Linked DNA regions of Lepisosteus oculatus. The protein of the gene in region 3 binds, or shares a complex with, the protein of the main gene of each other region. Links are inferred from orthologs where the notes say so. Each region holds a gene or a part of one and is shown on either strand. Other genes may lie near its edges.

The links.
Region 1: taf7 (region 3) and taf13 share a complex: the UniProt entries of both Homo sapiens proteins name them as parts of the TFIID basal transcription factor complex. The link is inferred for Lepisosteus oculatus from reciprocal best matches to the Homo sapiens genes TAF7 and TAF13.
Region 2: taf7 (region 3) and taf4a share a complex: the UniProt entries of both Homo sapiens proteins name them as parts of the TFIID basal transcription factor complex. The link is inferred for Lepisosteus oculatus from reciprocal best matches to the Homo sapiens genes TAF7 and TAF4.
Region 4: taf7 (region 3) and taf11 share a complex: the UniProt entries of both Homo sapiens proteins name them as parts of the TFIID basal transcription factor complex. The link is inferred for Lepisosteus oculatus from reciprocal best matches to the Homo sapiens genes TAF7 and TAF11.

What each region holds. Positions count from the first base shown.
Region 1 is NC_090700.1:3,894,724-3,902,440, forward strand, and holds the start of taf13 (transcription initiation factor TFIID subunit 13), read right to left. Parts: upstream 3,010-7,717; 5' UTR 2,773-3,009; coding exon 2,746-2,772; intron 1,741-2,745; coding exon 1,662-1,740; intron 1,074-1,661; coding exon 976-1,073; intron 1-975. Other genes in the region: casr (extracellular calcium-sensing receptor), read right to left, coding at 6,285-7,693. UniProt on the Homo sapiens protein: The TFIID basal transcription factor complex plays a major role in the initiation of RNA polymerase II (Pol II)-dependent transcription.
Region 2 is NC_090711.1:8,524,175-8,531,576, forward strand, and holds the start of taf4a (transcription initiation factor TFIID subunit 4), read right to left. Parts: upstream 3,018-7,402; 5' UTR 2,998-3,017; coding exon 2,766-2,997; intron 2,622-2,765; coding exon 1,623-2,621; intron 1-1,622. Other genes in the region: lsm14b (protein LSM14 homolog B), read left to right, coding at 6,831-6,951, 7,331-7,402. UniProt on the Homo sapiens protein: The TFIID basal transcription factor complex plays a major role in the initiation of RNA polymerase II (Pol II)-dependent transcription.
Region 3 is NC_090703.1:50,850,237-50,857,533, forward strand, and holds the start of taf7 (transcription initiation factor TFIID subunit 7), read right to left. Parts: upstream 3,015-7,297; 5' UTR 2,918-3,014; intron 2,624-2,917; exon of another isoform or gene 2,417-2,623; intron 2,336-2,416; exon of another isoform or gene 2,246-2,335; intron 1,971-2,245; 5' UTR 1,946-1,970; coding exon 1,906-1,945; intron 1,755-1,905; coding exon 1,678-1,754; intron 1,576-1,677; coding exon 1,497-1,575; intron 977-1,496; coding exon 843-976; intron 524-842; coding exon 400-523; intron 86-399; coding exon 27-85; intron 1-26. Other genes in the region: magnesium transporter NIPA2, read left to right, coding at 3,029-3,170, 4,006-4,062, 4,597-4,687, 5,016-5,176, 5,459-6,108. UniProt on the Homo sapiens protein: The TFIID basal transcription factor complex plays a major role in the initiation of RNA polymerase II (Pol II)-dependent transcription.
Region 4 is NC_090700.1:29,936,046-29,944,033, forward strand, and holds the start of taf11 (transcription initiation factor TFIID subunit 11), read right to left. Parts: upstream 3,010-7,988; 5' UTR 2,988-3,009; intron 1,969-2,987; coding exon of another isoform or gene 1,784-1,968; exon of another isoform or gene 1,359-1,783; intron 1-1,358. Other genes in the region: ankyrin repeat and SAM domain-containing protein 1A, read left to right, coding at 1,784-1,968. UniProt on the Homo sapiens protein: The TFIID basal transcription factor complex plays a major role in the initiation of RNA polymerase II (Pol II)-dependent transcription.

The DNA.
Region 1 (7,717 bases), on a different chromosome or scaffold from region 3:
AAAAAATCAATTTTTTTCTCATCTTGCTTGGAATTTTATTTATGAAATGCAATAGTTCAAAGACAACCTCCAACATGTACAAGAGCTGAAAACAGTCACACAGGTCAAATTAATTCTGTTATTAAGTCAATTAAGGAGTTCAATTGTGTAGCAGACATCTCAGCTGGATCAGAACTTAGCATGTGTGTGGTCCTCTAGGAGTAGGACTGGAAAACACCGAACTAAATTATTCAGAAGTGCACTATATAGCACATGCTGTGGAGTTTTAGTACTGCAGAGAACAGATGTCTTCCACATGAGTAATATGAAGAATTTATTTACCCTTACAGAGGCCCCTGCTACAAGTGCAGGTTCCTAAATAAAGCAACTTGTAGCAAGAAAGAGGAATTAATATACATGAGGAATAATGTAATTAGCTTGAGATACATTCCTAACACAATCAGTTCAGACATGTATTTACATAAAATGTACCTAAAACCCATAAAAACAACAAATCAAAACTGATGAGACAAATGTTATTATTCTTACCAGGGAAATGGAATTGATATGTTGGAAAGTGGAAGTGTGACACATTGCCTCTTGTGAATAGAACTAAACCTCACACCAACACTTTTTTTTTCCCCATCAATTCCAACAAATATATAAAGATACGATATGTACATTCGCAGTGCGTTCAGAGGGCCACATCGCAGCACACTGCAGCGCCTGCCAGCCAGCCTACATTGCTGGGTTTTGGTTCATTGAAAAAGTGCATAATCGTGCGAACAAAATGAATATAGCTCCTTAATTAACTGATGAAGTACAGCTGAAGCAATGAATATTGATGCATATTACGGTGACTAATAACAGGGACCCTCTGTACCTCCATTTGCTTCCCAGAGCTCGACTAAATGAATGTTCTCATCTGCAAAGCTCACCCTTCGAACTCAGGCTCACACTGCTAGGCAGAACAGAGCAGCTGTGCTCACAACGTACCATTTCTGTGATGAACTCTATCACAAGATCCTCCAGAATGTCCACAGACTCGGTGTAGGGGTTCTGATCGTCCCCGAATCCATACATCATGCATCGAACTGCGTGTGAGGGAGATAATACCACACAAAACTGCAATTGAGGCTACAATTGTTAATGAAATGGCACACATTATTATTATTATTATTATTACTACATGAAGACAAAAGCAAGAGAGAAGATGATAAGAAAAAACAAGAACCCCCCAAAAAATAACATCAAAGTCTTGAAGTATGTAACTATCAACAAGGTACAGCACCTTTGAAAACACATTACGACTGCTGACGACTGCAGCAGGAGGGGAATTCTGATATGAAAAAGTACACTGGTACTACTCTGCATTTCGCAGTTTTATGATAAAAAGCTGAGGAAATTTCTATAATTTTGTTAGTTGTTTTTTACGTAAAAAATAGCTGAGGTAAATACTTCACGAATATTCCCATTAAGCAGAGGCCCCCAAAAATATTCTGTTGAAGCTTTAGAATTGTCCTGTTGACTAAAGCTGACAGCAGTAAAACGAGCCCTGACTGCTTTTTGGCAGAAAAGAGAAGGATGAAGCTTTAAATCGGGACATGCGTGTCTCGCGTATAAAACAAACAAGCTCCTGTGCCACGAGGCGACGTCAGAGGGAAGCCAATGGAAAATCTCACGTTCTTTGGAGAAGAGCCTTTTCCTTCTCCCATGACCCCCCTCTGCCCCGCTGCCTCCTTCCTCGACATCCTCCTCGAACTGCAAGACAGAGCGGAGCACGGGACCAGTTCACTTCCAGGAGGAAAATCACATTTCACACTGGAATTCCTGTCACTCTTAGTAAAGCACGGACAGAGCTCATCTGAAACACACACACACCACTGTAACACCTAAACGTTCTATACTCTTCTGTGGCCACCCCAGGCTTCTGCAGAGCCCAACTCCAGCAGGTGTTAGAGAGTCACCGGTTTAGTAAGAACTTAGAACACCGGAGTTTTCTTCAGTTGAGCCAATACTGTACATTAAGTGGTTCAGGAATGAACCACTGGCATCCCCAAGAACTATGGGGTGCAGGTATTTGGATTTCAGGTGATCTCTGAACTACATCGTTTCATAAATCACCGGCGTTAAGAGGTCAACCAGCTGCTGCAGATCTGTAATAAAAGACGGTGGCCTGGAGGGTTGGTCGAAAACTCCCCTTTCTTAATAAAAATCAAGGGTAGCGCTGCTTTGGCCACATCACTGCCTTCTGACTAAACATTTAAACGGGACTTGCATTATAAATACTAATAGGCGACTCATAAACGTGCACGAAAATTAAGCTTTTTGGAACATGTACAGACAGACAAATCCTTTCTGCCATGAAGCTCGCTGGTGGACACAACTTGCAGTTTCTAATTTGAGCCCGCTGTCTTTACACAAGCAATTAATTTATGGATCTTGTTTTTAAATTGAGCTTCAACATTCAGTCCAACCTAAATACAACATTTTCTTTTGTATTAAACCAGTACTGTTCTAAAATGAGCACTGCAGGGAAACAAAACATGAAATTCCAAATGCCGGTGTCGATGTGCATGAATATTGTCATCACCCCAGGACCAAGTACAATGAAACAAGCCCGGGCGAACTTTCACCTATGTCTCCCCCCGTCACTGAAGTAAGAGAAAGGAAATGAGCACTAGGCTCTATGAGGCTGGAATGAATCGAAGACATCACAAAAGTATCACAGAGCGTGAAAAGGCGAGAAAAAAGATAAATACACACCGCGGGGTCATCGTCGTCGTCGGCCATCCTAGATCCTACTAAAGCCGCAATTGTAGCGAATTGGTGTGCAGGGAGACGCAGAAAAAAATCGGGATTTTACAGGCTAAGACTGAAGCTTGAAGAGTGTGTGTAGTCAACCGCCAAAAACTGTACCGGTACTTTACCAAGGGAACAAATTTCTGCAGCTGTCCAGGGAACTACTAAAAACAAGCGCTGGGCGCTAGCGACCATTCACTTCCTGGGTCCCAGGTCATGTGACCTTCCGGTCAGATTATACCATTACAAACCGGAGCGCTTACTGACATTACATTCTTTAACCGTCACCTATTGCCAGAACTTAAATAGGTATAAACACAATTGTAGTAAAATACTTTACAAAACAAACTCCTAATCCGTTTCTGAGACATCTTTTGCACCCACGCCGATGGTTTTATCTACGCCGGCGTGAGGCGAGTGGACGAGTCCTGGTTGCGCAGATTCCCGCAGCTCTACGCAGATACTGCGCAGATTGGAAGACAAAACTGTTCTAAATGCAAAGCAGGATCAGGAGTCTCTACCCACGACTTTCCGATTAGTGCAGTCTTTTGAGTCCATCTCACTGTAGAGATCTACGAATGACCGATTAGGGGAATCGCTTTAATTACAATAATTAAGTTGGTAGCTAGCTGCAGAGGTCAGTTTGATTGAACGAGGTGCCTATAATGTGGACTTTCTTTTCATGACTTAAAAAATGTTTTTTAAAAATCTTTTCTCTTTAGAAGGCCAGTATTAATCACATAACATTAAGCGAATTGCAGTCCACAAACACTGTACACTTTCTCTGCATGCGGATGATGGTACAAATGCCGTAAAATGTCACGCTGTATAAATGCATAACCTGGCCGGATTTGGCTGGAAAAATAAAAGGAATAATGCCGGATTAAATGTAATTCTGGGTGAGCATTGTCTATGACTGTTCCTACCTATGGTCGCTACAGTTAGGAGAAACAGTGGTTAAACTGCGTATTCTCCAAGCTAGCAATGGTTACAATAAAGTCAACCAGATAATCCGTTTGCCGCCCTGCTCGTACCATCCAACGTGAACCATCGTCATCGTGTTTATTCTGGAATCGCTGTTGGGAAATTCCACCCCCTCGGTCGGCAGGAAGAAATCAGCTTTGAAGTGCGTGTGCGTGTAGCCCTGGTCTCTTCTTGGCCTGTGCGGAATGGGCTCGGCAGCTCCCACGCTGTTGCTGGAGTTTCAGTCACACCCACCGAGCCCAGCAGGGGGCGCCCGGAGAGACGCGTGATTCCCCTCAAGGGCCGGAGCCGGCGGGCCTCTCTGCAGACTTCTGCTCGTCCAATTAGGCGGTCAATGAGACCCTTGGTGAGGTAACTGAGGGTCTGGGTGGGAGGAAAACCAGGTATCTCACGCATCCCCCCCCGAAAGCGGAGCACCGTGCGAAAAACAGATGTGGTGCTTTCAAGTACCAGTTTTTATGTTTGCTAAATGCCAACAGCTTGCCTGGACAGGCCCTGGCTACCCAGCGGCCCTGTGCTGGACACAGCTGCGAGATAATGGAGACAAAACGGACGAGTATCGACACAGACAGACATCAGTCCGGGAGAGTAGTAGCTCTATCTAAAATAAAGTTATGTGTAGCACAGGGTGGTGTTCTTTTCATGTAATTGTACTGCGAATAGAATTATTATCCAGAATAAGCTAAACCCCAAGAGAACATTTCTTTTAAAACAAAGTTGTTTAATCTTTCGTACAGGGGTTACATTTGACATCAAGCCCAAAGATTTATAGTTCACATGAAACAACAGGGCCCGCGTTGAATAAGTATTAACTGCTTTCATAATGACATGAAAATACATTTAGATCCATACAGACTATTCTAAAACGTCCCTAGCATTAACAGAAGCGCAATTTTTTCCTCAAGCAGTGAAGACTAATCTAGAACAGGAACACCTAACCCGAGAATGCACAGTACACTGCAGTGCTAGCCCCTATATATTCAATTACCCAACATTCCTGGAAAACTAAAATTATGCTTAGTGTCCCCAAAAACTTTATAGGAAAGAGATGAAAGATTCAAATGTTCTTGTAGATTCACTGACGTCACTGCATCCAAGAGAATGGTACAGGTTAAACGGGTCTGCTATTGAACAGTGTGCACAGTTTGTACTTACCGGATACATGCTAGCAGACACAGGACACCTTAGCGACCTCTCTTGGATAGCCCTGACAACAACCTGAGGACAGCAGTATCCCAGCCTTGGGCATGGTAAAGATCGTTAATGACCCAGCATTATTAATGTGCCGCTAATCTATTGCCTGGTGGGGGGGGCTATCATTGGACCTGAGACCTGTTTTTGTGTCTCTGCTGTTCCCACAGGGTCAGCCGGTGCTGTACAATATAATTCTGTAAAGCCCTCTGTGGTCAACTGTTGCAAAGGGCGCTACAGCGAATGAAGATTGATTGATTGGTGAATTGATGGGTTGATACAATGTTCGTTTTTGGAGTAATTTTGTCTGTGGTCTTTATCACGATTAAAACCAGGCACACAAATGTAAACTGCCTCAATTCGAAAAGTTTGCACTATTTCATCTGTTGTCTGTATACCATGCACTTGCAGAAAAGGAGAAAAGGACAATCCTTAACGGGTATTTTTATGTAGAAAATACTTGATAAATGTTATGAAAAAGTCCCTTCATACTTCACCCTCTGTCCTCTTTCAGTACCAATGACATTACAGTACCAAATAAAATTATAGTATGTGAGGGGCTTAATTGCTCAAAAAAGCTATTTTTGAACAATGTGTAGAACACTAGTAGAAGTGACTAATGCAAAGCAACTATCATTCTAAATTTCAGTGAATGAAAATAGATTTGAAAAACATGGATACTGATGTGCACTTTATTATAGCTAGTAATTTTTATTGTTAAATACCTTAATAACCTTAAATGCTAAATATACTTATTTATGGAGAGTATTGATTTATCATCTTAAAAAAGTGTTTTAAGCAGACCCTTGAAACCCCAGTTCAGAAAGGCTCACACAAATGACCTTCGAAAAGCACAACAGCAGTGTCGCATTAATTTAAGAATTTAAGATTCATTTGTTTTATATAAACACAAATAAGGAAAAATGTATTCTTGTAATTAGAGTGGTAACGTCTCTCTAAAACTGGGTTACCATTTCTGTGTAATCGTTTTGCATGTTTTTAATTGGGCCTTTCTCAGTAGATCTTAGTGCTTGTAGTATTTAGTACTTTTTCTCCTCAATAAAAAGCAGAGGCAGAGAGTTGCAGAACAATTGGAAGGGTCAGCTCGCAAACAGATATAGCAAAGGTCCGCGTCCCGGTAGGAGCAGGAGATAAACTCGGTCTGATGCTCACAGTGCTAGACATTCAGCTCCAGGTTACAAAAAGTGATTCTAATGTGAGCGCCGCAAAGGAGCTCCCCTCGGGCTCAGCCCAGGCGGCCTCAGCCTACTTCTGAGAGCACTGGGAAGGGGGGGGGGGGCGGGCGCGGAGGGCGTCGCGAGAGGATGTTAGGAGTTGCTGGAGTTCTCCGTGAACGCGTTGGCCCCAAAGCCGGCAGAGTTCGCGGAAGGGAAGGGCGCGGCGTCGTCAGCGGTGCTGCCCTCCTCCTGCTTCCTCCCGCCGGCGGCTTCCTGGGAGGGGTTGCTGCCGGCGGTCCTGAAGCTGGGGTCGCTCCGGGCTTCGCTGTTCTGCAGGGGCAGCAGGGCCTTGTGCCTCATCAGGCTGTCGCCGCTGTCCTTGCCCTCCAGGGAGCTCTTCCTCCGGCTGTACCTGACGGCCACGGAATTCTTCCGGGGCTCCTCGAAGCTGAGAGAGAGCATCACCTTGCCACCGCCGAAGCTCACCGTCTGCTTGCAAGCCCTCTGCGGCCCCGCTGCGGGGAGGTCCTGGTCCTCGTTGCTCTTGAAGCTGATGGAGGACGAGGGCGTGGACACCGAGGAGCCGCCGACGCTGTTGGACCTCTTGCGCGAGACGGCGCTGCGCCGCAGCGTCGCCCGGGCCGCCACCTTGAAGGCGTGGGCCGCGGTGCTGCAGCGCACCTCCTCGATCGTGTTCCTGGATGGCTTGAAGAGGATGATGTAGACCTTGTTGAAGAAGATGCAGGCCAGGAGCCCGAAGCTGGAGGCCAAGATGGCGATGACCTCCACGGCCGACACAAACTTGCCGTAGGTGCTGACGTAGGCGGGGATGAAGGAGATCCAGACGATGAAGAAGATAAGCATGCTGAAGGTGATGAACTTGGCCTCGTTGAAGTTCTCTGGCAGTTTGCGGGACTTGAAGGCAAAGAAGAAGCAGACGGCGGCCAGCAGGCAGGTGTACCCGATGAGGAACCCCAGTGCCATGAGGGAGCCCTCATTGCAGGTGATGAAAATGATCTCGTCCATGTCATGGTTGCTGTAGCTCTCGGGTGGTGCGTTGTAGAGCCAGACCACGCAGATCATGATCTGCACGAATGTGCACATGAAGACCAGGAGGAACTGCAGGTTCAGCCCCCACCACTTGCGATGAAGGCTGGTGGGGATCTTGGCTTCGAAGACCAGCAGCACCCGGTTGGTCTTGACCAGGATGCAGGAGATGCAGAGCACGAAGCTGATCCCGAAGGCCGGCTGGCGGAGCCGGCAGGTCCAGTCCTGGGGCTCCCCAATGAAGATCAGAGAGCTGGAGAAGCAGCAGATGAGTGAGAACAGCAGGAGGTAGGAGAGCTCCCTGTTGGTGGCCTTCACAATGGGAGTGTTGCGGAACTTCACAAAGACCCCCAGGACAAAGGAGGTCAGGAAAACCCCCAGCACCGCAAACAGGGTCAGCGCAATCCCAAAGGGTTCGGTCCACGAGAGAAACTCGATCTCCTTGAGAAGACAGGACGTATGGTTTTCATTGGACCACGAGTTGTTGGGGCACTTGGTGCACACACTCGCATCTGAAACACAAACAAACAGAAAGT
Region 2 (7,402 bases), on a different chromosome or scaffold from region 3:
CTTTGCACTATTATAAATAAAGAGAAGTGAATATATAGCCCGAGTGCTGTGAAGTTGTGAAGTAGTAAGTGTGCCTGGCAGTTTGAAATCACATCTTCTTCCACCACAATTTCTGAGCTGGAGCGTTTAGCATAGCCACCAACAACTTTATTCTTTTTTACGTCGGTGGATTAAACAACCCTTTATACATGAACTTCGTTTTTACACCAGCTAATCCAGACTTTAGTTTAACAACGGCAACAACTTGCTTGAAATTAAGCCTCCTTCATGCTTAATAGTCATAGTTAGGTACAAAATCAGAGACCACCGAAGCAATCTGTCAGTGCCTCTGTGTGGGCTAACTGTTCACGAAGGTATGCAGATTGTTAATAAAATGAACAAAACCAGCAGATGCAGTAACTAGACTAACTGTGGTTTTGAATTACTGTTAAAAACTTTCTTCACAGTGGAGCTAACTACACATAAGGCCTACATACCTCTTTTGAATACTTTTTCTCACTGTAATCATTAATCTCTTTAGAGCAATGGCAACAAGCAGCTTTTAAACACTTTAGATTTTAAAGGACCGAAGAAAGTAAAAACAAACACACATACAGACAAATAATACAGTATTCACTTTTCTGTCTAAGGCACAAGAGGTCCTAGGAACACTGATTAGCTCAGAGGACACAGGGTAACTTCAGTCATGTCTACTAGTGTAAAATAAACACCTCACACAGAGGACTGCTTCTGTCAGTCATCACTGTTTCTGCCACCTGTGTTACTGATTCTAACAGTTTGTGAGTCATTTATTACTACTACATTGTTAAATTAAACTGCCATTTATGTTTACTGAGAGGTTTATCTTGCAAAGTGATAAGTTGCAAAGTTCCTGCTCAAACTTCCTCTCTCCTGAAAAGTTCTCCAAGAGAGAAACACCAGCCTCAGCTTTGGATAGATTCACGTAACGGGTTTATGAATAGCTGCTGTATTTTGATTGTTACACACAGTTAACGTGCAATAATGACCTTTGCTCTACAAACTTCAAAATACATTGTCTTTGTTTATATTTCATCAATTGTCACGGTTTAAGGACTTGCCAAGCCAAACTTTCTACTTGCTAGGTTGTAGTGGCAGCAGCCACTTTAAGAAGGAAAGAAAGTCGGAGTACTTAATAAAACGTACACATTGGAACCAAAAACGTTTGGATACCAGCTTAGCTTTTCGGTCTTTAGGCTATAAATAAGCTTTTTTTCAGTTCCCTAACTTTAAAATTACACATATTCACAGACTTATCCGAAAGGGGCATCAGCAGACGCTCTTCTTGAGACGCACATTATCGTTCATGAAAATAAAACGACCGACATGATCGAGAAAGATAAAAGGTAAAAAAAAAAAGTGCAATCTCTTGACTTACTCGAGCAAGACCGTGACTATAATTACACAGCGTGTGTATGAAATTTGTCTTGGGCTTCAGACGCTGAGCTAATCATGAACTAAAAGCGATTCAGTCCCTATTAAGTTATGAAGGAGTTAGGATCCTGTCTAGAATTAAGGACAGCTCTTAAAAGTTCTTCAAGGGGAAAAAAACCCCTAGAATTGCTGGTGTGTTCAATAATAAAAACAAACTTTTAAAGGCTTACCTGGAGGCAGCTGGATGTTCTGGATATTTGGCTGATTCTGCGGTGCGTGGGGCAGGCGGGGAGCCAACACCTGCGGAGCTATAGTCCGTATTCCGACCGGACCGGGCACGACTGCTCCCGGAGTGGAAGTCCTGGCTACATTCTGCAAGACCGGACTCTTCCCGATAGCCGCGGCCGAACTGGGCTGCGGTGGAGGTCCTGGCTGCAGGGCGTTTTGCATAGGCTGACCAAGAGTCAAGTTACCGGCGTTCGCCACCACACCGGGCGCAACTGCCTGCGCTGTAGTCTGGATGATAGTTTTGGGGGACTCCGACTTGATCACCTGCGCCCCGGCGCTCACGGGCGACGGGCTGCTGTTTAAAAGCGGAGCCTGTAAAGATATTCCAGATCCCACCGGGGCGGGCAGGCTCGCTACACTGACCGCCGAAGTCAGGACCGTACTGTTCGTACTCCCATTCTGCGTCGTACCCGGTCCGGTCGTGTGCATCGGAGGCCGCACTAGAGTCACTGTAGGTCCGCTTCCCAAACTTGTCGCCTGAGACGAGATCACTGTCGAAGTAACAACATTCTGCGCGTTCACGAAAGAGGTCTGTATAACAGTGCTTGAGGCTGAAGGCAAAACAGCGTTTACATTTCCTTTCACAACCGATCCAGGTCCGTTGTTGACAACTGTGACAGCAGGTGCAGTGCTGCTGCTGCTGCTGCAAGTCGTAGCACTTGATACTGGCGTCCCGGGGAAAACAGCGGCACTTCCTGAATTGTGAGAGTTCATTACTACATTACTCCCATTCAAAGTTTGCACCGCAGACGTCCCGATTTTCCCGTTGCCCGCTCCGTGGTTGGGCACAGCGGTTACCATGGCACTGACAGCCACAGTTTTGCCTTGGCTGAGCCCCACTGATGCCTCCGACCCCGCCGATGATGTGATCCCTGTCGTTGCATCCATATCTGAACCCTGGGACCTCGTATTATTAATAACACCCCCTTGCACTCCAGCCCCTGTTGGAACGGAAACAAACCAGAGTGAGAGGGAAAAATATCACAGCACATTGGAAGGCATGGCAATGAATGCATTCGTTTACATTTTCTCTTTCGGAAACAGAAAAGAAAAAAACCAAAACAACGTTTACTATGTTACATTACCTGCTTTTGCCAGATCTTGTGCAAGTCCCAATTTGCTCTCCTGGACACTGGCATTGCCTCCTACCCCAGGGCTTGCAATGTGGTTCCCCACCGCCTGACCTCTTATGTCGGTGTTCCCGTGACCCGAGCCGGTTAGCTCAGACTCCAGGGACCCCACCAGATCGCTAACTACTTTCTCGTCCACCTCTGTGTTGAAGAAAACCTCATCCAGCAAATCGGAGCCCGCCGCCATCTTACTCTGCTATGAGCTGAGGGGGGGTTACCCGGCCTCACGCACGCGCGAATGGTGTGAAACGTCACCGGGATAGGGATTCCGGCGTATTCTGATTGGTTGTTTCCAGATTTAAAGGGCGGGACAAATGGCTGAAAGCGTCATTATCGAGAAAGTAGAGGATGATACAGCACCGTCGGTTGAGGAGCTGGTGGGGTTTAAGTATAATAGTATTAAGCTGCTGTGTCCGCGTTACTTTTTAACGCAAATAACGGACCCAACTGGAAATTACAGGCAGTGATGTTTATGAGTCTTTAATGCTGGTTTGGAGTTGTGAATCTGGCAAAAATCGAAGAGACTTTCTGTTTTGGCGCTTCGGCTTTTTGTACTTGCGTTTCAAGATGGCTGCGTTGTTTTTGTTCAGTAAGTTCAGAGAGTGTGTGAGGGCGCCACACCTGAGAGTGCTGCCAAGAGCGTGTAGTACATGCTGTCGAGACTACTGGGGGGTTATCTTGTAATACTGTAAAGTGTATTTCAGCGGTGGGTGCGAGTTAGAAGCGGTTTCCTTTATTAGACCGGAACTGATTATTTTTTTTTGTTTGAATCGTATCTGACCTGTGTTGCGGTAGTGTAAGAGGGCATGGCTGGCTTTGTTTGTTGATAAATGAATTCTTGCACTCCGCCACTAAACAAAAGGGGAAAGTATATTTATGTCAGTGCAACTGTCATTGTATGAAACAGACTATTTACAGACCGTGACTCCGAGATGCTACACCCGCGTAGCGGAGATGTGAAGCGTTAGTGAAAGGTGGCAGTACCCAAGCTAGACGCTTCATCCGAGGAAAACTTGGGTTTTATCCTGTGCTCCCATTTACGACCTGAGAAGCACGGCCAGGCTTTTCGGGGTGTCGATTTGACAGTCTCCCGTGTCTGACTTTAAAGTTCCTTTAGCCCTTGTTCGAAGCCGAATCATTTCCCAGTCCTAGTAAAAATAAGGGCTGCTCCTTTCTCTCCGTTTGTTCGACCTCTTCAAGCTGTAGCTGTACGTCCTGCTTCCCATCTATTCAAAATGCTCACGCCCCCAATTCGCAGCACGTATTCTGCTCGGTTTTTTCCCCCTGCAGTGTGAATTTGTACATTTTGTATAAATTTAATTAAGATTTGTAATGTTTCATTTCCTCTTGTAGATCGCTTTGGACAAAATTGTCATACAAATAAATCCACATAAAATGAGTTATCTTGTACTGTTGTGATTATTGTATTGTTAATTTATTAACGGGTATGTTTTTGCTTACACCACTTTTTTATTTATTTTTTTATTCCTTGATTTGCTTAGACACTTAACCAGGACTGTTTATAAAATTGTCATACAGGAAACAAGCTAAATGCAGTAAGAAGATGAATGTCTGAATTTAAATTGCAATGCATAAGAGCCTCAGCTGAATCGGTTGGCAATGATATATGGGGTAAAATAATGTGCACTGGTTTTTTGTTTGTCAAAATTTGAACTTTTAATGGGTTCTGCAACTTCAATATATTTATCTTTCAGCGCAGGTTTGATGTGTATTGTCTGTATAACAAGACATTGCCAGAGGAAGCAGGACTGGAATAAGCTACACTGAAAATCAAGATCATATGCAACTAACCTGCTAAGAAGCTGAAAATGTACAGAGCACGTGGATTACATAGGTGTATTCTCTCCTGTGAGCTGTCTCTCCTTCAATATGTTGTAGCCCTTTAAAATGTTTTTTACTGGTTGTCGTGTATCTTTCACTGTTTGTTTGCTAAACACACACCTGAAAGGCTGCTTGTCCATTTTATCCCTAAAGGTATATACTTATTTGATCTCAAACACGCCTAGCATTGTCATCTGTCTTTTAACAGAGTTGACACCAGATTGGTGCCTTTTCACTAATAATTATCTTACACTTAGTGCTTTTCTGGACACTCAAAGTGCTTTGCAGGTAATGGGGACTCCCCTCCACCACCACCAATGTGCAGCATCCACCTGGATGATGTGATGGCAGCCATGGTGCACCAGTATACTCGCCACACACCAGCTATCAGTGGGGAGGAGAGCAGAGTAATGAAGCCAATTTACTGGGGATTATTAGGAGACAAATGAGAAATTTGGGCAGGGTTACACCCCAACCTGTTTAAGAAATGCCCTGAGATTTATACTGACCACAGAGAGTCAGGACCTCAGTTTTACATCTCATCCAAAGGACAGTGCCTGTTTTACAGTATAGTCTCCCTGTCACTATACTGGGGCATTAGGACCCACATGGACCACAGGGTGAGTACCCCTGCTGTCCCCACTAACACCTCTTCCAGCAGCAACCTTAGTTTTTCCCAGGAGGTCTCCCATCCAGGTACTGACCAGGCTCACACCTGCTGAGCTTCAGTGGGTTGTCAGTTGTGAGTTGCAGAGTAATGTAGGTGCTGGCTATATAAAAAAAATTACATGGATGGAGGAGATGCAGATTCTTATTATACATGTATACTTACATAGTAAGTCATGTAGTAGTTACAGTGGAGTCACCAATACATAAAATGAGACTTATAAAATCTGAGCGGTTCTCTAAAACTCGTTCTCTATCTTTTTGTGCCATCGACCATCTCCCTAAATCTCCCTACATGCAGAGGAAAATGGTGTGAATACAATTTACTCAGTGAGACTGGGAGTGTTAATATGAATGTCTAAGACATTTTAATTGTATTGAAGAACTCCATTACACATTGAGGTTAAAAAAGGCTAGGAGTCAGTTTGATTTGTCTTAGGTGATAACATCTTACTATTTACCAAGGGATTTCATAAATCCTTTTCATAAGGAATCGGGAAATGTGTTTCAACTCCGTGTAGAGGCAGCTATAGATACCAGCTAGATCACCCTGCAACGCACAGCTGGCAAACCACAAGTTTGAGACTGGCCAATACCTGGATGGGAGACCTTCTGGGAAAGCTGGAAAAGGTGTTATTGGGACCAGTAGGGAGCACTCACACTGCATCCTGTGTGGGTGCTAATGCCTCAGTATAGCGTCGGGGACGCTAGACTGTAAAAGGGCGTCTTCCTTTGGATGAGATGTAAAACCAAGGTCCTAAATCTCTGTGGTCATTAAAAATCTCAGGGCGCTTCATGAAAAGAGTAGGCATATTAACCTGGTGTCCTGGCCAAAAATCCACCCAGCCTTTATCAAATCATTGCCTCTTGATAATCCCCATCTATGAATTGGCTTTATTACTGTGTTCTCTTCCATAGCTGATATGTGTCTGCCATCACTTTTGCTGGTGGTGGAGGGGAGTTCCCATTATCTGTAAAGCGTTTTGAGTGGAGTGCCCAGCAAAGAGCTATATAAATGTAAGGAAATATTTATTAGCTGTGTAACAGATCTTCACAACGCTTTGTGTAAAGAAGTAGCAGCTAGTTTCTGTCCTAAATGCAATTCCTCTTAACGCTGTCCTTGGATCTTTGCTCTACAGTTAATCGTTAAAAGGGCCAATAGCCAACATACCGCATTACGGCTCAAGTGCAAAGTTGGGGGTTACGACATTGAGCAAAACGCGAAACATTACTAGAGTCTTTACTTCTGTCTTCCAAACGGCAGGGGGCACCCTCTGTCTGTCTGTCTGTCTGACTGTCTGATTGATAGATTGTTTTCAGCCTCTTCTGCCGAATTCTCTATAAAACCGTGCGAGATGGGGCGGCGGATCACTCGGCTGAGTTTGATGTTTAAGATCGGTGTTCTTAACAAGTTAACATTGCTACAATTAAAGATCGAACGTAGGAGTGGAGGAAAAAAAAAATCTCCTTTGAAAATTACAAGTTGGTAAAGGAAGTACATATATACCGGCCATGAGTACCGGAACACCTTACCTTGGTAGCAAAATTGGCCTCATATCCAAGGCCCAGATCCGATATGAGGGTATTTTGTACACCATAGATACGGAGAACTCGACCGTGGCGTTAGCTAAAGGTGAGTACCAGTTGCTTTCCTTCTTCCAGTGGAAACTTACAAACCTTTTTATTCGTGTTTATTTATAGGAGATGTAACAGAGACGCTCTTAGGTGCCCGTGAAATGATTGTGTTTGAGAGGCGGGGTGTTTGTATCCTCGTTTGAGGTGGTGGCGCCAGTAACCAGTTACCTTTCGGTACCTTTGAATCTCTTTTAAGAGACTAGTTCGCAAGTTAAAGATTGTTTTACCGGCGTAAAAGCAAGAAAAAGTTCTGGTTCTTAAGAATGTTACTTCGGGATAGTCATTATTTTAGGAGTTAGGTGCTAGCCTGTTACCTGTGTGTAAGTAATGAAGTGGGAACCGACGGTCTTAATGCCATTTGTCCTTCCCTGGATTAGTGCGATCCTTCGGGACGGAGGGCCGCCCTACAGATAGACCAGTGCCTCCCAGGGACGAGATCTACGAGTACA
Region 3 (7,297 bases):
TGGGGGTATTTTACATTAAATTTTACCTTTTTCTTAGCAGTTTTCCTGAATCTTCTCTTCCTGGTGTTTTTCAAGGGATGAGTGACTAGACAGTAAAACCAAAGACGACTATTATTGTTCATATGGACACAGCCGTTCACAGTCACTTGAAAATCTTCAGGAAGCTCTGAAAAGGCTCAGCGCAAACACATCCACCTACCTGCATAAACCCACAGAAGAACTACTGCTAACGAAAGAAAAAATACTGCCTTGCTACAGTACATCTTAAGTCTCGTATTTGAAACTTAATTTCAAAGTATTTAAACTCTATTTTGTTACCAGGCTCATTATAATACTGCCTCTGAAAAAACAAGGAACAACACGTTTTAAAGCAACGAGGCGAGCAGGGTGGATACTCACTGCCATGGTTCCATATAAACTTCTTGTCTTTATCTTTGTCTTTCTTCTTGTTCTTGGGCTCTGTAGTTCCTGTGGGTTCCTCTAGAGGGGGGTACAGGTCTCCATCCACTGTGCACACCAGCATCTGTGTACATACAATATTCATTTGAACAGCTCAACACAAAGAGCGTCAGCCACTCATAACTGAATAACTAGATAGATAACTAGGAAGGGACTACTTCCCAGGATTTGTGAAAAAATGCTACAGAAAAATTACAATTAAACATTGGAGAACAAATAAAATCAATCACACTTAAATAAGGGAAAACAGATCCAAAATAATACTGTGCATATAGCCTAATAAAATTGAAATTTAGTTTAAAACTTAATTGCATCAAAGTAAGTGTACATTTTAAAACTAGACATGAATTTTCACAGTATGCCTTTGAATGTTTCGTTCTTACCTGACAAACATCTGCAGTCTTATAAAAGGTTTTCTTATCCACTGTCTTCAGAGACTCTATAATGCAGGGGAGGTCCACCAGCTTGCAGGCCAGAGGAACGCGATCCACTCTCACGATCCCATGGCGCCCGTCAGCTGCACAGAGGGGTCATTCGTTTTGAGATCATGCGTGAAAGCACATGGCCACAACTGTTGAAGCTGTTGTAACTTCAGAGAAATGCATTCTCTAACACAAACTCAACTGATCATAACTGGGAAAGAAATAAGACTTCATAAAATGACCACCATAACATAAGAACAAGCTTTACATTTTCAGGAGCTGGTGTAGGATTCTTTAAGTACATACAGTATGGTGTCTTAACACCTGAAATTGACCTAGATATCAAGTTACCTAACTGTAAGAACTATTAATATAATAAGGACGCCGTAGAGGGACACATGTATTACAACTGTCATTTCGGTGTTGTTTTTTTTAGCCCTTAAATCGGGTCTAGAAAATGGTCGAATATGCCAGATTATTCCGTCTGTATCTCGACCCAGTTTGTTTGTTGCGATCCAGTGAACGATGAAGCCAGTGCAACATCCAGACATGCGGTTATTAGTGATTAAGTCCCGTAATATCTGAGCAATCGAGGAACTCTTCCAGGGTACGAACCGTGCAGTTCAATGGTGAGTCTGTCTTTCAGATTGACGCTACCAGACTGCACTACTCTCCGAACCGTGGAGGCGTATTCCTACATGAAAAAAAAAAAAAAAAAAACAGGAGGACGTTTCAATGGAAACTACATGAGGTCGATTTCGGCATCTCCGATCTCGGAGAGGTTCAGGTTCCGTACCGGGGGCAGCCGCAGTATGAACTGGCTCTCCAGCTCATGAGGCGCGTCGTCTTTGTTTTTGGAGCCTGCCTTTCCCACTGGAGGAGAACAAATCAAGACATCAACAGTTAAGGGCGTCTTTTTGTAATGAAATCGACTTAACTAAGCATCACCATCTAAGCGAAATTTAAATAAATCCGGATATAAATATGTACAGGTAAACGAAGTGCACAGAAAGAAATGTCGAACCTTTTGCTTTGGAAGTCATTTTGATCTTCTTATTCTGCATAAACACTTGCGTTATACGAAGTCCTCTGTAAAGAAAATTGATATTTTTATTACGCAGAGAAAGAAGCGATTAGGAGATATGAGATATCGTTGTTTATTGTTTGTGCTTCAACTAACGTATTGATTTTGATGCAAATTTTCAAAAATAGTGCAGGGAATAAAGTAAACTAAAAAACAAACTATATAAACGGCACCACCCTGGCTCCTATTAAAATAATATGTTACATATAGTTAGAGGCAGCAAAATAAAATCATAAATATAATCTTACTGTATCCCGCAAGAAATACGTACTGAACTTACCAACAACAACTGTACCTCCTCCTCCACAACAACACAACCGGATACTCTCTTGAAAAGACTACCTGTAAACAACAACTCCCGCTCTCCAAAGGGTCCGCCTTGCTCTCGTCGTTTTAATACGGCTCACATTCACTAAGTCAACAGTTCGGTTAAACGCCTTTTGCCTTACGGATTCCGGTGTCTTCAGCGATAATATTACTTAATTAAAATAGAAGAAAGCTCAAAACGGTGCTTCGCGGCAGAAGAGGAGAAAGAAAGGTTCCGGGCAGCCGGAGCTGGGGGACCTGCAGACGGAGAGGACGGGTTGATGGAGGAAGTTGCGGTTTCCCCGGCCTGTGACAGAGCTCTGTATCAGGCGTCTATGGGCACGATTGCAAGGTAAATTCCTGTTTTTTTCCCTATTACAGAATAGGTTTAATTGAATTATGTACATGTTCTACAAATAACTTATTGTTTTATGACAAAGCTGTCCCATGACATCACATAAACGTCTTGGAAAATTGAATTATAGCTACAGTAAGAACTGAATTAACGGATTGCTTTTTAGAAAAAAAAACCTCAACCTCACCCTCAACAAACGAGCAGATACTGACTTTGACCTGTTTCAACGACGCTGCATTCAATCTCCAGATAGGTTTCAGTAAAACGAAATGTAATACGAAACAGTCATACCTGAGCTGTTGAGTTTTAGATCGAGGCGTCTCTCTCTCTCTTTCTTTTTAAATCTCAGCTCAGCTGTGATTTCTCTCCAGTATCAGACTTTCTTGAATCATTTGTCAACAGATGGATATCGATGCTGCGAGCCGAGTGAATTTCTACATCGGCCTCTCCCTGGCCATCTGCTCCAGTGTCTTTATTGGGGGCAGTTTCATTCTGAAGAAGAAGGGGCTCCTCCGGTTGGCCAGTAAGGGGTCAATGCGAGCGGGTACGTGTCCACACTGCGACTGTGTCTTACCTTATCGGGACTCACTGTCCTTGCGTTTACTGTCGACTTTACTGTTAGATCGCATGATTCGTCGTTGTAATCTCTGTGCCTTGTGTAACTTTTGTTTCAGTTTCTCCAGGCTGTTTAATAGAGCCCAGTTTTAAAGTAGTTTTTTTCCGAAAATAACTCAAATACCAATCACATGACTTGAGCAGAGTGTTTTGTTATCCCAAGGCACAGTACACTACTCAGACAACCAGCAAATGTAACTGCTCACACTGTAAAACGCAAACAGCAGTACCTGAATGGGAAGTGAACCATTGATGTGAAACTTAGACTGTTGTGTTTTCACCGTGTATCATTTCTGTCATCTTGTCATTGTCACTTCCTTCTGTGACCTGGTCAGGAAGAGTTACAGCATACGTCGCACCCATTTACATCATATCTTGGGAAAATGTGAGACATTCTTGCATCTCTTTAAAATTTCACATTGTTGATAATATGAAATTTATTTAATTAGGAAGATGTTCACTTTGCAGTGTGTTTGTGTTTAAATATGGCGTATTATTGTTGGAATGGAATGTCTTTTCCCACTTGTGAGTTTCTTCGGTTGATGCTGGAGAACTTGTTTCCCAGTTTTGTTGTTTGTACCTGTCACAGAAAACCAGATTGCGTTGAAAAACTGGTTCAGTCGGTGTATTGGACATGAGCTAAAACAAGTGTTGAAGGAAACATACCTGTACTCCTGCTACTGATGCTGTCAGTGGTGATAAGCTGCAGTTCAGCGGGAGACACTGGGAGATGAAGGCATTTTGTTTTGTCCTTCCCTGTGCAGGCCAAGGAGGACACGCCTACCTCAAGGAGTGGCTGTGGTGGGCAGGACTTATTTCAAGTAAGTCGTGAAGTCTGTGTCCTTTTGGGTTCTACAAGTCCTACAGTTTATTTTCGAGACTCTTCAAAAGCATTCAGGAATGTCATTTCCACTATGATTTACTGTAATAAGAGCTACGGAAAGACGTGTCTGAGCAGCAGAGACTTCTTTCCAAGATCATGCCTTTGTTTTGTTTAAACCAGCGCTTGACCCAGTGGTGGTCTGTGGTGCTTTGACAACCCGGAGGGATGTCCAGATCAGAACCATTCTGGCTCTTCGGTTCTCTGCCATTTTCGTCTCTCTTCTCCTCTCACATTGCTCTGTGCTGCGCGTTATGTCCAGATACTCGGGTGTGTTTCATTTTTTTATGAACGGGTCATGACGTTGCAGCTCACCTGTACGTTGTTTTAATCTGGAAATCTTTGAGACACATGTTCTGCCAGAGACTGGAGGCCCAAACCCTCTGAAAGAAAGTACTGTGATTGAAAACAAAAGTGTGTTCATGGCAGAAGCCCTGGCGTGCCTCCTGACCTGCTCTGCCCTCTTGTGTTGCAGTGGGGGTGGGAGAGGCTGCGAATTTTGCGGCCTACGCTTTTGCGCCGGCCACGCTCGTTACGCCGCTGGGAGCCCTGAGCGTCCTGGTGAGGTGAGTCAGGACACACACACGAGCTCAGTCTGCAAAAGCTGTTTGATTTCTCTGTGTATTTTTTTTACCCGTGTGCCATTTTGATGAAAACAGTGGTAAATCGCTTGGATAAAAAAAAGTCTTTTTTCCGATATTTGTTTCAAGTATGGTCTTGGTACCTTCCATCAAACCATCCTAATAAGGGTCACTTACAACACATCACAAAAAGACCTGTGTTCTTAATAACATACAGATATGCAAGAAAGATTGTTACATTTCTGACAGGTGCTAGCACTTTCATTTTTCATTTTTGTCCAAGAGCTCCCTCTCACCCTTCCTGTTTCCTCAGCGCTGTGCTGTCCTCCTATTTCCTCAACGAGCGGTTGAATGTTCACGGGAAGATCGGGTGTCTGCTGTGCATCCTAGGCTCCACCGTGATGGTCATCCATGCCCCACAGGAGGAGGAAGTGGACTCCCTGAGCTCCATGGCGGAAAAGCTGAAAGATCCCGGTACGTCACACACCTGCACAGTCTCTCGGGGGTGAATGTGCCCTCCGGAATTCACTGGGCTGAAATTAAGTTTGAAGTTTGTGATTTAAGTGACCGGCAGTGGTCAGTGATCACAGCCCTGTCTGGTTTTGGCTTGAGCCACAGGAAGACGCCGGCGATGAAAGCTGAAGTGGGATGCAAAAAGCTGGATGTTGAAAGCTGTGATCGCTGCCGAGCGAGCGCCCGATTTCTTTCTTTCAGATTATTCACTTTAACAGAACTGCTGTCTTCTGCCTGTTGCAGGTTTCATTGTGTTCGCCGCGTGCGTCGTTGTGAGCAGCCTGGTCCTGATCTTCATCGTGGCCCCGCGCTACGGCCAGAAGAATGTGCTGGTCTACATCTTCATCTGTTCGGCGATCGGCTCCCTCTCCGTGTCCTGTGTGAAGGGGCTGGGGATCGGCGCGAAGGAGCTGTTCGCGGGGAAGCCGGTGCTGAAGGAGCCCCTGTTCTGGGCGCTGCTGGTGTGTCTGGTGGCCTGCATCAGCACGCAGATCAACTACCTGAACAAGGCGCTGGACATCTTCAACACGTCCATCGTCACTCCCATCTACTACGTCTTTTTCACTACCGCGGTCATGGCCTGCTCCGCCATCCTCTTCAAGGAGTGGTTCCAAATGTCCGCGGACGGCATCTTGGGCACGATCAGCGGCTTCCTCACCATCATCGTGGGCATCTTTCTCCTCCACGCCTTCAAGGACGTCAGTTTCACCTGGGATGCCCTCCCACTCTTCCTCCGCAGGGGCCAGAGAGGGGCCCCCTGGGGCCAGCCCTATATTCCCGTGCCCAGCCAGGAGGCGGAAACGCCTGGGGGACAGCCTTTGAGGGAGGGAGGCAGTAAGAGGCATTCTCCTGACAGCGCAGCCAGGAGAAGCAGCAGCGTCACGGTCACCTAACAGTGGAGCCAGATCCTTTTAACACCCATCTGTTGTTGTTGTTTTATAATAATTCGGGGTCTTGAAGATATTTTTAGAACGGAATCTGGGAAGGATACCGTGCCTTCTAGGAAGTATCCTTCTAAAATATTTTAAAATACAGTACTCGTCCAAAAGGAAGCAAAACCCCCTCTCTCTGCAAATGACTACTCTCACAAAAGTCCCTCTTGTTTCACAGGACTTCATACTGCCATCCTTGTTCCTTTTCCTTTCGTTTTTACTCCCCATGAATCATCTTTTTTAACTCTTCTCCTTTGCCGCTGGCTCTGGTTGACAGGTCTGCACTATTAAAACTAGTTCTGTTCCCATTCTTTGCAGAACATGTGGCACTGAAATGGGAGGATGCATAAAAATGGGGAGAGGACTGACACGTCACACAGCACTGTGCTCATTAGCTCACTGGCTTTTTTAAGTGTCTTTTGTTCTTATTGATCCCAAGGTTTACAGTAGGATCTATGTAGGTCTAGGAAACTGTAATTGAGAGAATTTAATTTTCTGTGCTGAAGTTAATGCTTAGCTACAAAACACTAGAGTAACTTTTTTCACTAACTGTCACGTGAATAGGTGCCTTTTTAAATGTATTTTTACCAGTGGTGCAATTAACAACTTGAGGTCCAGAAAGTTGAACACGGTTAATATAGTATTATTCATTTGTGTCAATCATTTCATACACGTTTATATGTTTATACAGTATAAGTAATTAGTATAATTCTGAATTGCACAACTCTCAGTACTTCTGTAGGATTGCCGTAATTCTGGAGAATTCTGTAATTCAATGAACTGCAGTACTGGAGACTAGTAGCCAGGTTATTGTACACGTCTATTCAGGGGTCATGTGTACCACCTCGTGCCTTTCACTGGTGGCAGGGACAGGTTCCACGGGTTGATTTTCCACACTGCACAGATTCTTCCACTTTTACTCAGTGTGCAGTTTGTCTGGCTGGAGGCCGGAGGAGATTTCATGGAGAAGTGTAATTACAGTGGCTTTCTGGAGAAGCTGTATGGTTGTTTACATGTGACAGGTGGACTGATCTCCTCCGTTCCCAAATGCTATATACGTGAAAACTACAGTATTAACAAGCGTAATGGCTTAGCACACTTGTAATCTTTGGTGTCATAAATCAAATGTGTATATTTATTGTTCCTTTCT
Region 4 (7,988 bases), on a different chromosome or scaffold from region 3:
TATCTGAGGATACATAAACCAACCGTAGCCATAACATTTAGTGTGGATTTCGCTTTTTATGTGTTGAAAGTGATATAATCTATCAGCAATAGCCTAAACGTGTTTTTTTTAATCTGAAAATGTTTCATATGAACAGTTTAGGTCTAATACGAGTGACACGTGATTATAAAAAAATACAAATATATTGTAATTGTAGCAAATAGAACTCTGCTGAGAGCATGTGGCCAATTTGAAACACATTTAGTTAAACGGTCCCGTAAATGTCATGGCGTTGAACAAAGAGCAGAACATATTGAGATCCCGACCCGGGAAGAGAAGAAAACGCAAGAAACAGCTGGTCTGCCAGGGGTGTTGGGTTTGCTGGGCGTACAGAAAAAGATGAAGAATCTTTTAATGAACAACCGCATTTGAAGTGAAGTGACCTGATCAGTGCCATAACTGCATTAGTAAGGAAGCTGCTGTCTGAAACTCAGCAGACTGTATTCAAATATTGCTTTTCTACATATGACTATGGAACTGCACTACAGGAATTAACCATGGGAACGGAATTTTAGTGCGGAGGAGGGCAAAGCCTTCAAATTCCATTATCTGGATAATACATTTTAGGAGAACATAACAAACGGTTAAATATAAAACTAGGAAATAAAGTTGCCTCCTGTAAATAAGCAATTGATTATTTTTTTGCTCTCCTACCCTAAGTCTAACTTGGCAGGCACACCACGCAACAGCCCACAGGAGTAACCTGCTGACTCCACAGAGAAGACACCCCAGCACAGAAGAATATCCGACATCCAGGCAGGTCGGTACCAGGACTGAGCTTGGGTGGGGCAGGAGAGTTTAAAGTCACCCTACCCGACAAAATCCATTTCACGAGCTATACCTGGAACAAACCGTGTCGATTAAAATGTATTTCTCACAAATAGAAGCTCAACCTGTTTAGGATTCAGCTCCATTACTGGCTTCAGAGATAACGTCTACATAAGCAAAAACCACAGCCTCTTAGACTACACTTAAGGGCTCTAGCCCACGCGTGCTATGCTCCGCAATTTTGCCCACCCAAATAAAAGTCCCCCACATATCAATTTATTTCAGTATTTGCAGGCTGAACAGCCCTATCTGACTTACACTTGTTAATAGCGGATATCCGTTATAGTTAATGAAGTGTATGTGGTAATATTGTTTTCTCGTGTTTGGTAGTTCCTTTAATTTGTAGACACATCTAAATACATTCTGATACATTTAACGTGTTACATCTGATTTGTTTCCGACACAAAGAAACTGATACGAATATTTATTTCTTTGTGCTGAGCTGCATTAAAACGAAATGCGATTGTCTTGCAATTCTTGGCATTCTCAGCGCATTATTAAAGTGACTTAAATCCAGACTTGTGGGGGAGGTAGTGGGTGATAGGATTTCACTACCGGTTGTACCAGGTATGGGGTAATGGGGCTGTTGTGAAATGACGTTGGAAAGTAACCAAATGACATCATGAGGAGGAGGCTGTCCTAAGGAAGTGACGTGTCGGGGGGGCAGTCGGAGGAAGTTTGGCCGGTGGTGGTGCTGAAAGAAACTTTCCCTGGAGCGGCGGAGTGGAGCAGGGATCCGGGGCGCGAGTTGCCGCGAGGAAAAACATCGATCAACTGTGGAGGATTATTGTCAGTGGGAGCATTGCTGTTGGAGCCTGGATACGCGTCTTGGCCTCTGGGACACCAGGCTGAAAGGGAATCGCCTGAGCCGCTGCCTTGCGTGTGCCTCCCTCTTTGGCTCCATTCTCGAGCCGAGATGGGGAAGGAGCAGGAGCTCCTGGAGGCTGCCCGCACTGGGAATCTGGCCGCCGTCGAGAAGCTGCTATCCGGCAAGCGGCAGTCGGCGGGGATCGGTGGAGGGTCCTCGGGAGGCGGAGGGAGCGGCGGCGGAGGAGGCGGCGGTCACAGTTCCTCATCTCACCCGCTTTCGAGTTTGCTCAGGTGAGAGGTGGGGGGAAGACCGGACCTGCCGGTGCAGGTACAAGGAAAGGGAGAAGGGGTCCGGCCCGGGTGGAGGAGGAAAGCAAGAGAAGGAGGAGGGGGGGTTTGTGCAAAACGCGGTTTGAAGATTATTATTGAGTGGGTGAAAGAGTGAGTCTTCAGAATGCCTAAGCGTAACCCTGGGTGTCCAAAGCACACCCCCCAAGATTTAATCGTTTTTTTCTTGGACAAATACAGTTTTGAGCCGATAACAAACGATCTGATAGACCCAGTTCAGCCCACGTCTTTGCAAATATTTTTTTCCCCTCAACTCTCCTGTCTCTGACGCGGACCTCAGCACACCTTTGCTATCGGGTTGCGCCGGGCAAACATTCTTTGAATATTTGCTTCCACATTTCAAGAAGTCGACCTCCCTTTCCTTACCTCGCCATGTTTAATAACACATTACGGGCTGGTGCACACTGCAAGGGAATCCGTCTTTTGTTTGGCGCTTGATATGCTCGAAATCAGTTCGTGGGAAAAACGTGTGACAAATTTGGTTGGGTTTATGCAGATGTCGCAAGATATCGCTACTGTCATTTTTTTCTTTTGTGTAGTTGATCGCAAGGCACCCACTTCGATTAATTTTGACGTGCGATATTAAGAACACCTGACAATTATTTCCCCATGAAGCTGATGAAAAATACAAGAGACAACAGAAGAGCGTCACAACACGAAGAGACGTTATAATCCCTTTAACATATCAGACACCGACCAAGAAATAGGTCATGATTATTTTTGCCTTCGTTGCGCTGTTTTGCTGTTTTGTATATGCTTCCCCGGTCGTTTGTTTTGTGGTTTCGTGTTGTTTGTGCACACTTTCGAGTTTGCATCTTTTTTAAAACAATATCAGTAAACAACGCGAAAACGTCTACGATGCCGCTCGTTTTTCCACGCGTGAAATCTGGGACTGAAACGTTTTCTGTTCTGTGGGTTTTCACCGGTGCGCGGGCCGGGTGGACTGGACTCCCCCGCGGTACCTGGGCGCGCAGGAGGGGCGAGGGTGTGGAGAGGGGCACTGCGTCCGGCGTGCAAGGAGCTGTCCGTGCTGCGGTCATTCATACTCCTAGTAGTCCAGCATGTGTGAATTGCACTCCTCCTCCTTCTCCTGAGCGCTCTCGGCGAGATGTGTACTGTAAATACGAACAGTGTGCATTTAAAAAAGACGCCCGTAGTCTCTCACAGCCTTAGCAAGCGCGGAGCTGAGCCACCCTGCAGGCGTGTGTCACCGACCTGACTTCGAAACCTAACTCCAAGCAGCTAACGCGTCACCTCTTTTAATTGCAGAAAATGTAATTAAACATTGAAAGGAGGTAGAAAACTGCAGTTTAATTTCATCAGAAACTTAAATCGGAGAAGCTGAACGAGGGTGCAGCGAAATTCATTTCTGATAAGGAAAGAGAGCCGTTTTCGTGTCTGTTAAGTGGTTCTTTAAGCGTCTGTTCTTCAGTAACTGTGTTTCCTCCTAATCTGTAATAATTTAATCTGGACACTGACGGAAATAGCCGAACGCATGTGCCTCTTAAAACCGTACAGTTGCCTAACGCTATATTGCACAAAGCATCTTTACAATGGCGAGTCTTGACGATGTCTATATATAGATACAGGCTTCGATTACGAAATCCTTTCAGACAAATTAACGCTTACAATTTAAGGTTCGTTTAAGATTTTCATGTCGAAAGAGTCATTAAGTCATTAAGACCCCTTTTCCTTTTACTGTTCTGGTAACCGTTTTTTTAAACGGTTTGGAAGTAGTGTCCCTGAAAGAAGATTTAAAAACACTAAAGATGGTAAAGCTGTTACTGTATGAAGGTGCTACCTCCTCTCGTTTCATCGGTTACCTCCCCCGAAAAGATGACCGAATGAATTATCTGATAAAAAGGGGAACGCGGTAAAAGAAATTATGACTCCTGTTATAGCGCATCTATGGGCGGAGGGCGGAGATAACTCACACTCCGTAAACATCGACTTGATGCGTCGTAAAATTAGTCCTGACATGCTGCGCGGTACTTGATGTAATTACATTAAAACCCTCTTAATCGGAAATCCAATTCGGCGGTGTCATGCGCTTCGAGTGGCCCCCGGCATAGCCCGGCCCCCGACAAGTGAAAGCTGAAGTGCACTTTGTAGGCTCTGGAGAGCTCTGCTCGGCTCGATCAATGGCTGGCAGGCGTCCATGAGCGAAGATAATGATGACCTTAGCATGTGTTTTAAAGTAACTAACTCGGATGAGGAAGACACCCCTTGCGTGCCCACCCTCAGAGCTCCGCATGTCTACGCGATTTCCCTTCAGAGCACTGGGCATCATTGCTTTAAGTGCGATCTTTTCTCTCCTCTCGTTTGACTTGAAAGAAAAAAAACCGCACATCAGGCCTTCGGAAATAATCGTGTTCTGTGGTACCCCGTCAATATTGATTAATCGGCCAGTTTAATGATTCAAATCTTCGGGCATGTCAAGTTAACCCCAGCTGTGTTTTTCATCCAGTTTTTATTCGTTCCCAAATCCTGATCCCGTAGTGTGGTTTTGGTCAGGCTTTCTAAATTCAGAAAATACACGAACCGTAGTAGTGTTTGTGATGAAGGGTAGTCCTGCCAAAAATTCAGAGGCAAAGAAGACGAAGGTTCTGAGATCAACGGCTGGCGAAAAAAGCCGTTATTTTAAAAACCAGAGCAACACTGTTTGCCTTTAATAATGCAGTCCCCTGCTGAAGTGAAGCATGTAGCTGTCAGACCGATGTGCATTTACCGGTACAGCGCCGAAGCGAAGGACCTAAAATATTAAAGATGAGAATAGGAGGCTCTTCTTTACACAAAGGGTGGCGGGTGTCTGGAGTAGGCTGCCCAGCCATATTGTTGAAGCCGACATCCTGGCTTCTTTAAAGAAAGGACCGGGTGAGATCTTGGATCAATTTGCAACCACCGAACGAGCTCGATCGAGTGACTAGCCTCCTCTCACCTGTAAATATGCGAATGGATTTTGTGCAGGAACATCTGCTTGTCTGTTCAAGTTTCCATATGCAGGATTCAGTAGTTCAGGTCAGCTCATAATACTGTAGGTCTGCGTGGCGTGTTCCTTTTTTTAATGCTTACCATTGTGTGTCAGGCAGACTAGTGTGCAGGGCTGATATTTGGACCAGGTGGTATATGACGATACTATGAGAACTGAACCACTCTGCAGACAGAAATGTTGCTAAATTCACTGGAGTTTTATATGGCCAGTGTTCATGGCACTGGATCAGCTGGGACTAGCTCCCAGGTGCCAGTACTGTGGTGACTGTGTGGCTGGTAAGTCTTTGCTGAACTTTACCAAGCTTTGGCTGTGAAAGTGCATAGCATCAGAAAAACATGGGCTTAGAGAAATCAAAACTGCGAAGTGATGTGTGTGTTTTGTGCCACCTTATCTGTCCATTTCCTAACCACTTCATCCAATTAATTCAAGGTCTTGGGGGAACTGGAGCCTATCGTGGCAAACAATGGGTGCAAGGTGGGGTATACCCTGGGCAGGATGCCAGTCCATCACAGGGCAGACACACCAGGGCCAGTTTTCTCAGGAGCCAGTTAACTACCAGTATGTCTTTGGATTGTGGGAGGAAGCTGGAGCACCTAGAGGAAACCCACATGAACACGGGAGAACACGCAAACTCCACACAGACAGCACCCCGAGTCTGGAATTGAACCCAGAGCTCTGCGAGGCAGCAATGCTGACCACTGCTCCACCGTGTTGCCCACAGTCCAATCCATGGCTCTTCTTTTAGCCCCGGTACAGAATAACGTCGTTGCTCCTGAGCAGATTGGCTTCAGATTCTGTGGTTGTGCGGCGTGTGTGTGTTCTGAGCCTGCGTTTCCACAACCGCCTGGCACTTCCGAGTGCCCAGCCCGCTGTGCCCAAGTGCCAGGCCTCTGCTGATTCTCTAGGGCCCCGGTGCCCGACTTTACAGCAGGCAGCCCACCTTGGCCGTTTTTCTTCGGGCAGGATCACGGAGTCAAGCGCTGGAAAGGCGTTCTGTGAAGAAGGGCCTTCTGCTTTTTTGCTTACTCCGCGGCGCGCGCGTCGGGACTGCGGTTTCAGTCAGGACGGGGATTAACGGAGCCGCCGGGCCTCGGGAGAAGCGGGCAATGGGGCCGAACAGTGCCGAGCTCGCTCCGTCTCCTCACTGGCTGGGGGTGGGGGGAGGAGGGTTGGAGAGAGAGCCTTCCCTAGCGTGCTCAGGCATGCCGCGTTGAGACACCTCAGCGCAGCAGTCTGCCTTGCTCTGGAATGTGCCTGTTCCTCGCCCGGCTTCTCGTGCGCGCTTTGACAACAAGCCAGCTTGCGAACGTGCTTTTGCGGGGAAGAGCGCTCGGAGAATGCGCGCGCGCACGTGGGACTGGAATTCCATCTCGATCCGGCCTGACGTGGCCGTGCTTCCCTTTCTGGCTGGACTGTCCATCCGTCCACTTTGCCCACCGCTTCTTCCAGTGTGGGGGAAGCCGGTGCCTATCCCATCAAGCAGTGGGCACAATCCAGGTGCATCCTGGATGGGATGCCAGTCCGTCACAGGGCAGCGATCACACGTACTCACACCAGGGCCGACTTTCCCAGAGGCCGGTTAAGTTAATCTATCAGTCTGGTCTGCGGACTGTGGGAGCAAACAGGATTACCCAGAGGAAACCCACCCCAACAGTGGGAGCACATACGAACTCTGAAGTAAAAAAGAAACTAGAGTCTTAGTTAAAGCCCCGAGATTGCTTTTGGCAGTGTGAGTCTTTAGCCTGGCATTGGAGGTCGGCGGTGCGTGGGTTGTGTTCAGCGTTGAAGGTTTTTCACACTGGGTGAAGTGAATTCAATCATTAACGAAACCGAATAAACAGGCGTCTTATCTCTCAGTGAGCCTGAGGTCACAAAGAAAAGCCCCCCCCCCCCCCCCGTCAGGGGGGCCTACCCTGGCGTTTTGAAAACCAGAAAAAATCCACAAGTTTGCAGTATATTTATAATAATTATAATTAATAATAATTGCTTACATCATAATTTTTGGACACTCCACTCAAAGCACTTTACAGGTAATGGGGTCTCCCCTCCGCCACCACCAGTGTGCAGCATCCACCTGGATGATGCGACGGCAGCCATAGTGACCAGTAGTCTCACCACACACCAGCTATCAGTGGGGAGGAGAACAGAGTGATGAAGCCAGTTCATAGAGGGGGATTATTAGGAGGCCATGATTGGTAAGGGCCAATGGGAAATTTGGCCAGGACGCCGGGGTTCCACCCCTACTCTTTTCGAGAAACACCCTGGGATTTTTAATGACCACAGAGAGTCAGGACCTTGGTTTTACATCTCATCCGAAGGACGTTATTTCCTTATTTCCTTCGGATACCCTGCTGGCTTCTTTCGATATGCCTGTCTCTGCTGTCTGTGCTCATTTCTGAGGCTTCATGCTGCCTGGCCATGTTGGTGAAGCATCTGGATGCGACTCTTGGATCAAGTAACAGCCAAGAGGGCCAGCTGGGCTGAATGGCTTCCTCCGGTTTGCAGCTCTTCGTTGTTGATGAACTCCGATGTTGCCTGACTGTGTCAGCTATCAAGGAACCTGGCTTCACCGCTTCACCGCTTCACCCCTGGGGCTGGCAGTGAGGTGTTCCTGGATTCGGGGCACGTTCTGCTCTGAGCTGTCAGGATACTGTACTTGCCCTCATAGTGCTCAGATTGCACCAGGAAGACCTCTCCTCGTGTCAGCGTTGCAAATGCACGATTAACTTACCTGGTTAAATAAAAGAAGTTATTCAGTTCTCTAATTGGCCCTTACTAATCATGGCCTCCTAATAATCCCTCTCTATGAATTGGCTACATTACTCTGCTCTCCTCCCCACTGATAGCTGATGTGTGGTGAGCGTTCTGGCGCACTATGGCTGCCGTCGCATCATCCAGGTGGATGCTGCACATTGGTGGAGGTGGAGGGGAGTCCCCATTACCTGTAAAGCGCTTTGAGTGGAATGTCCAG